3 linked regions of the Macaca fascicularis genome follow. The main gene of each other region encodes a partner of the protein of the gene in region 3 in a complex. Links are inferred from orthologs where the notes say so. Each region holds a gene or a part of one and is shown on either strand. Other genes may lie near its edges.

The links.
Region 1: TERT (region 3) and NOP10 share a complex: the UniProt entries of both Homo sapiens proteins name them as parts of the telomerase holoenzyme complex. The link is inferred for Macaca fascicularis from reciprocal best matches to the Homo sapiens genes TERT and NOP10.
Region 2: TERT (region 3) and WRAP53 share a complex: the UniProt entries of both Homo sapiens proteins name them as parts of the telomerase holoenzyme complex. The link is inferred for Macaca fascicularis from reciprocal best matches to the Homo sapiens genes TERT and WRAP53.

The regions. Positions count from the first base shown.
Region 1 is NC_088381.1:10,628,644-10,632,075, reverse strand, and holds NOP10 (H/ACA ribonucleoprotein complex subunit 3), read left to right. Parts: upstream 1-1,441; 5' UTR 1,442-1,521; coding exon 1,522-1,575; intron 1,576-2,479; coding exon 2,480-2,620; 3' UTR 2,621-2,868; downstream 2,869-3,432. UniProt on the Homo sapiens protein: Required for ribosome biogenesis and telomere maintenance. Part of the H/ACA small nucleolar ribonucleoprotein (H/ACA snoRNP) complex, which catalyzes pseudouridylation of rRNA.
Region 2 is NC_088390.1:7,739,868-7,744,115, forward strand, and holds the start of WRAP53 (telomerase Cajal body protein 1), read left to right. Parts: upstream 1-1,373; 5' UTR 1,374-1,482; intron 1,483-1,568; 5' UTR 1,569-1,569; coding exon 1,570-2,000; intron 2,001-2,144; coding exon 2,145-2,243; intron 2,244-2,510; coding exon 2,511-2,622; intron 2,623-2,894; coding exon of another isoform or gene 2,895-3,185; exon of another isoform or gene 3,186-3,250; intron 3,251-4,248. UniProt on the Homo sapiens protein: RNA chaperone that plays a key role in telomere maintenance and RNA localization to Cajal bodies. Specifically recognizes and binds the Cajal body box (CAB box) present in both small Cajal body RNAs (scaRNAs) and telomerase RNA template component (TERC).
Region 3 is NC_088380.1:1,630,543-1,634,188, reverse strand, and holds part of TERT (telomerase reverse transcriptase), read left to right. Parts: intron 1-1,319; coding exon 1,320-1,515; intron 1,516-3,646. UniProt on the Homo sapiens protein: Telomerase is a ribonucleoprotein enzyme essential for the replication of chromosome termini in most eukaryotes. Active in progenitor and cancer cells. Inactive, or very low activity, in normal somatic cells.

The sequences.
Region 1 (3,432 bases), on a different chromosome or scaffold from region 3:
ATCATCTGTTTCTTGTGAATAATTGCAGAGATTTTTTATTCAACTACAAGTAAATACAAACCATATCTTTTTTTTTTTTTTTTGGGACAGGGTCTCTTGCTCTGTCACCCAAGCTGGAGACCAGTGGCGTGATCTCAGCTCACTGCAACCTCCGCCTCCCGGGTTCAAGCGATTCTCCTGCCTCAGCCTCCCGAGTAGCTGGGACTACAGGTGACCGCCAGCACGTCCCGCTAATTTTTGTATTTTTATTAGTAAAGACGGGGTTTCACCATATTGGCCAGGCTGGTCTTGAACTCCTGACCTTGTGATCCACCTGTCTCGGCCTCTCAAAGTGCTGGGATTACAGGCCTGAGCTACTGCACCCGGTCACAAACCATATTCTTTTTTTCAGACGGAGTGCCACTCTGTCACCCAGGCTGGTGTGCAGTGGCGCTATCTCAGCTCGCTGCAACCTCTGCCTTCCCGGCTCAAATGACTCTCCTGCCTCAGCCTCTGAAGTGGCTGGGACTACAGGCGCCCACCACCACACTCAGCTAATTTTTTCTGTATTTTTAGTAGAGACGGGGTTTCGCCAGATTGGCCAGGCTGGTCTCGAACTCTTGACCTTGTGATCCGCCCGCCTCAGCTTCCCAAAGTGTTGAGATTACAGGCGTGAGCCAACGCGCCCGGCCAAACCATATTCTAAAAAAAAAAAAACCTTGCAGGTTTTTCTGGTTACACAACATATATGCCAACGCTTTTGTCATTATAAATAAGGCGTAATGATGATCTTTGTAATTATATTTTGGTTCTCATTTTCATTTCTTTAAACGAATAAGGAGAACTTCTATATTCTTTAAAAAATTGTAAAATCTCCTAGAAGGTGCACTTTATTACGCTATTATTAGCTACTCACCACTGTAAGAAAGAGCGCTGAATTTGCGGTAGGGACCTAAGTTTAAATCTTGGTTCGACCGCTGAAACATACTTCGTTTCATAAAATAACTTTACGCTATTTTCGCTTTACGGAATATTGATACTCAACATGCATTCTTTACCGCCAACGTTTTGAAATGGAGCAGGGAAACTGGATGTAAAAGAGGGGAGGGAAGAAAACCTCTTCCTTCTTCCCTAGGGCAAAGGGGCTCTGAATCCTGGAGCCCTTGTTTCTTCAGGCACTGGAAACTCACTGCTCCTGAAATGGGTATGTATCTTGAGATAAAGACAAGCTTCTATACGTCAATGTTCTATCCACATCCATCCCTACCCCCCTCTAGCGCCGTGTACCTAGCACACAGTAGGCACACTCCACGTGTTTTAGCCTGCAAAGTTGCAAGTGTGGCCCCCCAAGCCAAGCCCTGCCCTCGTGCGCCCCCTTCTGGCTAGCTGAAAATAAGGCAAAAATTGACTACATTTTCCGGCGTGCCAGGAGAGAGACTTCCGGCTATGCAGGAAGGAAATTGACGAACACGTGACGCGGTCGGGCGGACCCCTGCAGACGGAGCAGCGGAGCGAATTGGGACCTCTGGCTTACGAGCAGTCATGTTTCTCCAGTATTACCTCAACGAGGAGGGAGATCGGGTCTATACGCTGAAGGTGAGGAGAGAAAACAGGTTGTAAATAGGCATGGCGAGAAATGTAGATGGGAGGAATGGGTGAGGCCATACACGGAGTTACCTAGCTGGGTGGAGGGAACCAGAAAGTCCAGAACCGAGGTGGGGGAGAACCGGGAGCGCGCGACGAGTTTTTTATTTAAAAAAAAAAATTGGCCGGGCGCAGTGGCTCACGCCTGTAATCCTAGCACTTTGGGAGGCCGAGGCGTGTGGATTACCTTAGCTCAGGAGTTAGAGACTATTCTGGGCAACACGGTGAAACTACGTTTCTACTAAAATACAAAAAATTAGCCGGGCGTGGCGGCGTGCGCCTGTTTTCCCAGCTACCTGGGAGGCTGAGACAGGAGAATCGCTTAAACCCGGGAGGGGGAGCTTGCAGTAAACCCGGATAGCGCCATTGCACTCACTTTTCTTTTTTTTCTTTTTTTTTTTTTTTTTAAGACAGGGACTCGCTTTGTTGCCTAGGCTGTAGTGCCTCGGCTCACTGCAACCTCCGCCTCCTGGGCTCAAACAATCTTCCTGCCTCAGCCTCCCGAGTAGCTGGGACTACAGGCGTGCGCCACCACACCTGGCTAATTTTTGGTTTAGGGTTTTTTTGTTTGGTTGGTTGGTTTTGTTTGTTTGTTGTAGAGACGAGGTTTCGCCATATTGCCCAGGCTGGTCTCAAACTTCTGACCTCAAGCCATCCTCCTGCCTCGGCCTCCCAAAGTGCTGGGATTACAGGCGTGAGCCACCGCGCCCAGCCTTTTTAAGTTTTGTATTTCTCTATTTATTTGTACAACTTTTTGAGCTGATCATTGCATCTTCTGTTTTCATGTTTGCCCTTTTTCGCGCTGTCCCCACCCCATCACTCCTGTACTGACATTCATTCTCTATTCCCGGAGCAGAAATTTGACCCGATGGGACAACAGACCTGCTCAGCCCATCCTGCTCGGTTCTCCCCAGATGACAAATACTCTCGACACCGAATCACCATCAAGAAACGCTTCAAGGTGCTCATGACCCAGCAACCGCGCCCTGTCCTCTGAAGGCCCCTTAAACTGATGTCTATTCTGCGGCCTGTTACCCCTCGGAGACTCCGTAACCAAACTCCTCAGTCTGTGAGCCCTGATGCCTTTTTGCCAGCCATACTCTGTGGCATCCAATCTCATCCTGGTGATTGAGCATGCTTGTGTGAGGCAGTCATGGTGGCATCACCCATAAAGGGAACACGTTTGACTTTTTTTTTCGTATTTTAAGTTACTACCAGATTATTAAAGATAAAATGATTTGAAAAGCTCTTATTTTGTGTTGTTGGAGGAAAGGATTGGTAGTATTGTTTTAAAGGGAGGGAGATGATGGACGAGAGTACTCCAGAGAGTTGCAACAATACGACTTGGAAGAAAAACTTCAGTCCTGTAGCAAGAGTGGTCATGTGCTGTTAGTGGTAGGAGGGTATTGGGGAAGAAAGATTAAGACTTTCACAGCTGTCAGCATTCACTGAAAAATACCCCTGTTGTCACGTAATTTCTCATCCCTTGAAATAACATTTTGATTAAAAATGGAAGAGTACTTGAAAAAGTAATAGGTATATTATAGAGAGAAGGCAGTGAATTGAAAGAAGACCAATATTTCCTTTTTGTATAACTTTGAGAAAGTTACTTAACCTGTTTAGTCTGATTTTTCTCCTTATTAACTTATCTTTGAACTCATTGATTTAGTGGTGGGCTTTTTTTTTTTTTTAAGACAGTCTCACTCTGTTGTCCAGGCTGGAATGCAGTGGTGGATGACTACAACCTCCGTCTCCCAGGTTCAAGCAATTCTCCTGCCTCAGCCTCCCAAAGTGCTGGGATTGTAATCC
Region 2 (4,248 bases), on a different chromosome or scaffold from region 3:
TAGATGTGCAAAGGAGTACCCTTTAGGCCGGCTCAAGGTTCCCCAAAGCTCCACTTCTCTGCCTAGGCGTTCAACTTTGAGTTCGGATGGTCCTAACATCCCCACCATCTACACCCAGGTCTCCCAACAATGCAACTCCTATGTTGATCCCTCTAGCCAAGCTTCCATCCCACTCACCCCCAAACTCGCTAAGTCCCCACTGCCCCACCCCCAGCCCCAGCGATTCTCCCGAGCTGAAAATACACGGAGCCGATAGCCCGTGACTCAGAGAGGACTCATCAAGTTCAGTCAGGAGCTTACCCAATCCTCAGGGAAGCGTGTCACCGTCTTGGAAAGCACGCTCCCAGCCCGGACGCCAAGTGTTCCCGGAGCCCCGCAGCTACCTGCTGCCTGGATGGTGGCTCTAGACTTTTGAGAAGCTCAAAACTTTTAGCGCCAGTCGAGCACATGGGAGGGGAAAACCCCAATCCCATCAACCCCTGCGAGGTTCCTGGCACAAAGCTGGACAGTCGCCATGACAAGTAAGGGCAAGTAATCCGCCCGCTGGAGGAAGCAAAGGAAATGGAATTGGGGAGGAGGGTGCAGAGAGAGTCAGGATTCTTGCCGAACTGGTGCCGTAGATACTAACATTTTGGGGTGGAAAATTCTACAAGCCAGAGCTGTGAGGGCAGAATTGGTGGAAACCATTTTGGAGGAATCCTGCGCTGTGTCAAATATGAAGGGTGGAGGGAAGAAAGCTTTTGCGTTTGCTCTCAGCTGGATCCTTTCTTCTCAACAGCTAAAATGTCATTTTTTAGGAAGGCTTTCCTTAATATCTCACGCTAACGTTTTCTCCCACATACTTTGTATCACACCATCTTGTTTAATCTTCACAATACTTATCACTCTGAAAATATTTGTTAATTGCTTTCAGTACATGGAAACGTAAGCTTTATGAGGATATAGAATTTTTCTACTATCTTATTTATTGTTGTATTCCTCAGTGCCTATATCAGTCCTGGGTAGCAAGTAAGAGCTCGATAATAAATACTTTTTGAATGAAGGAAGAGAGAAAGGTCTGGAGCCTGGAGAACGAGATGAAAAGAGGTACAAGACCTGCAGCGCCCTCTGCAGGCGGCGGGGGATGGTGCAGGTGCTTTAAGAATTACCGCGGGACTCGGTAGGGGGAGCGCAGGCGCTTCTCCCCAAGATAGAAGAGTTTAGACTACAACTCCCAGCAGCCACGAGAAGCCCTAGGGCTTGATGGGAACGGGAAACCTTATAACCTTTCACGTCCCGGCTCCGCGGGTTCCGTGGGTCGCCCGCGAAATCTGATCCGGGATGCAGCGGCCCAATCGGAAGGTGGGCCCAAATCCCGCGACAGCAAGAGGCTCGTAGCGACCTGCGGTGCTAAGGAACGCAGTGCTTTCAAAATTGGCGTCCGCTGTTCGCCTCTCCTCCCGGGAGTCTTCTACCTCCTCCCAGAAGAGGAAGGAAGCACAGGTGGGTTTCATTAGCTCTGCATCGGATCCCTGAGAACTTCGAAGCCATCCTGGCTGAGGCTAATGTCCGCTGTGCTTCCTCTGCAGTATGAAGACTTTGGAGACTCAACCGTTAGCTCCGGACTGCTGTCCCTCAGACCAGGATCCAGCTCCGGCCCATCCTTCTCCCCACGCTTCCCCGATGGATAAAAATGCGGACCCTGAACTGATGCCACCGCCTCTCGAAAGGGAGGATCCGCCCCGGTTGTCCCCAGATCCTGTGGCTGGCTCAGCTGTGTCCCAGGAGCTAGGGGAGGGGGACCCAGTTTCTCTCTCCACTCCCCTGGAAACAGAGTTTGGTGCTCCTAGTGAGTTGAGTCCTCAAATCGAGGAGCAAGAACTTTCTGAAAATACGAGACTTCCTGCAGAAGAAGCAAACGGGAGCCTTTCTGAAGAAGAAGCGAACAGGCCAGAGTTGGGGTCTGAAGAAGCCATGGAAGATGCCTCTGGGGAACCCGCTGCAGAGGACGAGGGAGACACGTAAGTGGTGATGGCAGTGGAGTGTGGAGTCTGGGGAGATGAAGTGTGAGATCGACCTGTCCTCTGGTCCTCAGAACCACTTCTCTAGGCCCCTGCCTCCGTTGCTTGGCGACCCAGGTTTGTTGTCCCCCATCTTCCTTTCAGTGCTTGGAACTACAGCTTCTCCCAGCTGCCTCGATTTCTCAGTGGTTCCTGGTCAGAGTTTAGCACCCAACCTGAGAACTTCTTGAAAGGCTGTAAGTGGTAAGGATAACAACGGGGCAGGGAGCTGACCACCCCCAAGATTTTCACCGTAGAACAGTCCGGTTATCTAGGAGAGGGATGCCCCAGAGCTGGGAGAAGGAGCACGTAGCCCTTTTAGACTGAACTTACATTTTATCTAGCAGTGTGTGTCTTCTCCTTCCCTCAAGGATTCAGGGGGGCTTACCTACCCCAGAGGTAGGCTCAGCCCTAGACCTACACTTGAAAAGCATAGGTCTGGCCAGCTTTGTAACTCTTTCCTGTTTCTAGGGCTCCTGATGGTTCCTGCATCTTGACCAATAGTGCTGATAACATCTTGCGAATTTATAACCTGCCCCCAGAGCTGTACCACGAGGGGGAGCAGGTGGAATATGCAGAAATGGTAAGGACTGGGGCTAACTCGGCCTCTTCCTCAGTGCTGCACATTTAAGTCCTTCATGGAGATGGAGAAAGTGTAGTCCAAGTGCTTCCTGTTCACAAACGGGACTGTTTTTCAAGATGTTTCCACGTCTAGCGTTTTCTGCCCTGAATTCTGAAGTTATTTAGAGAGACGTTTCCCCTTTCTTTAATTAGGAATCTGTGTTTTTCGCTAAAAAGTAGTGAATTTCTTGTGGCAGTATATATGTATTTATATTTATTATTTTTTTGAGACAGGGTCTTGCTCTGAAACCCAGGCTGGAGTGCCGTAGTGCGATCTCAGCTCACCGCAACCTCTGCCTTCTGGGTTCAAGCGATTCTCCTGCCTCAGTCCCCGGAGTAGCTGGTACTTCAGGTGCATGCCATCACACTCGACTCATTTTTGTATTTTTAGTAGAGATGGGGTTTCGCCATGTTGGGCAGGCTGATATCAAATTCCTGACCTCAGATGATCCGCCCACCTTGGCCTCCCAAAGTGTGGGGATTACAGGCGTGAGTCACCGTGCCCGGCCTATAGATATTTATTGATTGACTACTGATACATGTTAGTCACCGTGCTGGGATAAAGTGGTGGACAAGACAGATGAAAGGCTGGTTTGCTTTCTCTGTGGGAGATAGACAACAAATACGTAAACCAGCAGGCATCAGGACCAAGATGATAATAAATGCTCTGAAGGAAATACACAGAATGAAGAGAGACTAACTAGAGGAAAGCACATTGCATAAAATGGTCAGGAAGGAGCTCTCTGACAAGGAGGCATTTCAACTAAGACCTGAAGGAGGATAAGGGGTCAGTCAAGTGAACACTTCCGGAAAGAGCTTTCCAGAAACTGGCAATGATAGTATAAACACCCAGAACTGGGAAATAGCTTTGTGTATTAAAAGACCAGAAAGGCCTGGCACGGTGGCTCACACCTGTAATCCCAGCTACTTGGGAGGCCAAGGTGGGCAGATCACTTGAGGCCAGAAGTTCAAGACTAGCCTGGCCAATATGGTGAAACCCCATCTCTACTAAAAATACAAAAATTAGCTGCATGTAGTGGCACATGCCTGTAATCCCAGCTACTCGTGTGGCTGAGGCAGGAGAATCTCTTAAACTCGGGAGAGGTGGAGGCTGCAGTCAGACAAGACTGTACCACTGCACTTCAGCCTGGGCGACAGAGTGAGACTCCATCTCAAAAAACAACAAAACAGACCAGGCTCGGTGGGTCACACCTGTAATCCCGGCACTTTGGGAAGCTGAGGCAGGCAGATCACCTGAGGTCAGGAGTTCGAGACCAGGCTGGCCAACATGGCAAAAACCCGTCTCTACAAAAATACAAAAATTTGCTGGATGTGATGATGGGTGCCTGTAATCCCAGCTACTTGAGAGACTGAGGCAGGAGAATCACTTGAACCCGAGAGGTGGAGGTTGCAGTGAGCCGAGATCATGCCATTGCACTCCATCTCAAAACAAACAAACAAACAAACACAAAATAAAAAACCCAGAATGCTAGTATAGCCAGACTGAGGCAAGTGAGGGAGATAGCGGGGCGAGGACAGAGAAGAGCAGCCACGTTGTGTTGGGTCTTATGGGTAAGGCATTTGGAGT
Region 3 (3,646 bases):
ACATTGCTACCCTTGTCCTGAGCAGTAAGAGCCTTAAGTATATTTTAACTCTGGTCACCACCCCCAGCCTATGTGCTATTTTCCCTGCTGACTTAGTTCTATCTTGGGTATCTTGACACACCCACAAGGTAACCATTATTAATATTGTTTTCCGTGTTCCGTGTTTCTTTAGCTTTGTCCCTGCCCTGCTTTTCCTCCTCTGTTCCCCGTCTGTCTTCTGTCTCAGGCCTGCCTTCTGGGGTCCCCTTCCTTGTCCTTTGCCTGGTTCTTCTGTCTTGTTATTGCTGGTAAACCCCAGCTTTACCTGCACTGTGGCCTCCATGGCTTCTAGTGACGTCCGGGGACCTCTGCTTATGCACAGATGAAGATGTGGAGACTCACGAGAAGGGCGATCATCTTGGCCCGTGAGTGTCTGGAGCACCACGTGGCCGGCGTTCCTTAGCCAGTGGGTGACAGCAGCGTCCGCTCGGCCTGGGTTCAGCCTGGAAAACCCCAGGCACGTTGGGATCTGGGCTCCGTGGTGACGAGTTTGAAATCACACAAACCTACGGTCTGGTGCCAGCCCCGATGTGCTGCCTGGCGGGGAAGTGTCTGCCTCCTCCCTTCTGCTTAGGGACCAGGACAAAGGATGAGGCTTCGAGCCATTGTCATCCAACAGGAGCATGACATGAGCCACGTGGATCATTTTTAAATGTCTAGGCTGGGCGCGGTGGCTCACGCCCGTAATCCCAGCACTTTGGAAGGCCCAGGCGGATGGATCACAAGGTCAGGAGATCGAGACCAACCTGGCCAACATGGTGAAACCCCATCTCTACTAAAAACACAAAAATTAGCCGGGCATGGTGGTGGGTGCCTGTAATCCCAGCCACCTGGGAGGCTGAGGTAGGAGAATCGCTTGAACCGGGGAGTTGGAAGTTGCAGTGAGCTGACATTGCGCCACTGCACTCCAGCCTGGCAACAGAGGGAGACTGTCTCAAAAAAAAAAAAAAAAAAAATAGAGAAAAAGAAAAAAAAATTCTAGCAGCCACATTAAAAAAGTAAAAAAGAAAAGGTGAAATTAACGTAATAATAATTTTACTGAAGCCCAGCACGTCCACAACTCATCATTTAGGGTGTCATTGGTGGGAGCGTCACTCACAGGACATGTGACATTTTTTGTGCTTGATCTGCGGGATCCCGTGTGGGTCCCGTGTGCGGCCATCTCAGCCTGGACCTGCTGGGCTCCCCGTGGCCATGGCTGTCGTACCAGATGGTGCAGGTCTGCGATGAGGTCGCCAGCCCTGCGGTGAGCTGGATGTGCGGTGTCCTTCTCGTTTCAGGGGTGGGCTGTGTGCCGGCCGCAGAGCACCGCCTGCGGGAGGAGATCCTGGCCAAGTTCCTGCACTGGCTGATGAGTGTGTATGTGGTCGAGCTGCTCAGGTCTTTTTTTTATGTCACGGAGACCACGTTTCAGAAGAACAGGCTCTTTTTCTACCGGAAGAGTGTCTGGAGCAAGTTGCAAAGCATTGGAATCAGGTAGTGTAACCCCACGCTGGTCCCCTGCTTCTCGAAGTCCTGCAGCACCAGCCCCGGCCTCAGCGTGCGCCTGTCGTCCCGGCGCCGGTGCTTCCCTGGCTGTGTGGCTCTGGGCTGGGAGCCAGGGCCCCCGTCACAGGCCTGTCCCGAGTGGATTCTGTGCTGGGCTCTGATTGCCCGGAGCTCACTTTCTGTTACTTGTGAAATCAGGAGTTTATGCCAAGTGGTCTCTGGGGTCTGTAAAGCAGAAGCAGTTTATATTGGATGGAAACACTACCACCAGCCTCCTTGCCCCTCCTCGGGATGTGGATCCGATTCTTTCTCTTTTTTTTTTTTTTTTGTTTTTTGAGATGGAGACTTGCTCTGTTGCCCAGGCTAGAGTGCAGTGCCATAATCTTCACTCACTGCAACTTCCACCTCCCGGGTTTAAGCGATTCTCCAGCCTCAGCCTCCTAAGTAGCTGGGATTACAGGCACCTGCCACCACGCCTGGCTAATTTTTGTATTTTTAGTAGAGATGGGCTTTTGCCATGTTGGCCAGGCTGGTCTCGAACTCCTGACCTCAGGTGATCCACCCACCTTGGCCTCCCAGAATGCTTGGTTTATAGGCTGAGCCACTGTGACTGGTCCCCGATTGTCTTTTAATTCATGCTGGTCTGCATGAATCTTTAATCTGCTGGATTTAGGTCACGAGAGGATAAAATCCCACCCTCTTGGTGACTCACTGTGGGGAGCACCTGTGTGGGGAGCACCTGGGGTAGGAGACGTCCATCATGAGCTAACTTCTAGGTGGCTGCGTTTGAATGGCTGCGAGATTTTGTCTGCAGTGTTCAGCTGATAAGAGTGTGAGGGATTGTGGCAGATTCAAGCTGGATTTGCGTCAGTGAGGGACTGGAGTGCTGGGCTGGGAGACATCAGCCTGGCTGAGCCCAGGCCATGATATTAGCTTCTCTGTGTCCCACCCAGGCTGACTGGAGGGCTCGGTGAGGACTCTTTAGTCACAAGGTCAGGGCTTCCCCGGCTCCTCTGCACACTCGAGTCCCTGGGGGGCTTCTCACACCCCATGCCCCAAATCAGGATGTCTGCAGAGGAAGCTGGCAGCAGACCTCATCAGAGGTAACACGGCCTCTGGGCTGGGGACCCCGACGTGGGGCTGGGGCCGTTTCCTCCTGTATCTGGGGGAGAGTCAGGGCTTTCCTTGTGGGAACGAGTTAATACACAATGTGCCCTACTTAGACATTGCACATAGTGAATGGTGTGTGACCCAACGTGGTCATTTGACCAGTGTTTTGGGAAGAATTTAATTGGGGTGACAGGAAGGAGCAGACAGACGTGGTGGTCCCCTAGTCGCTCCTTGTCACGGCTGGAGCTGATGTTCTGCCTGAGGGGCCTCGGAGGCCCCTCCTCCCTGGACAGGGTACTGTGCCTCTTCTGTGCTCGGCTGGGCCTGCGGCCTGGGGTCAGGGTACCAGCCCCGGAGCACCCTCGGGCCCAGCGACCATAGAGCACTAGGCCGTCAGCCGCAGATGCCCAGGTCCAGGTGTGGCCACTCCAGCCCCCCACTCCCCCATGGGTGGTTTTGGGAGAAAATGCCAAAGGGCAGAGGTGTCAGGGAGCTGGTGGGCTCACGGGAGCTGGTTCTGCTCCTTGGCTGAGCTGCCCTGAGCAGCCTCCCCTGCCCGCTCCATTGGAAGGGATGCGGCTCTTTCTGCCTGAGGGTCCTGCCTGGGGCCAGACCTGGGCTACCCAGTGGCTGTACCAGAGGGACAGGCATCCTGTGTGGAGGGAGCATGAGTTCATGTGGCCCCAGATGCAGCCTTGCACCCCATCCTGGGTGGCGGCCACTGGACAGGCAGGCTGGGGGTTGATCATGGGACCAGGTTCCCTGGTGCTGATGGTGGGACAGTCACCCTGGGGGTTGACCACTGGACTGTGCGTTCCTAGGGTTGACTGTAGGACCAGGTGTCCAGGTGCCCTGCAAGTAGAGGGCTCTCGGAGGCGTCTGGCTGGCGTGGGAGGACGTGGCCCCGGGCATGGCCTTCAGTGTGTGCTGCCGTGGGTGTCCCGAGCCCTCACTGAGTCGATGGGGGCTTGTGGCTTCCCGTGAGCTTCCCCCTAGTCTGGCGCCTGGC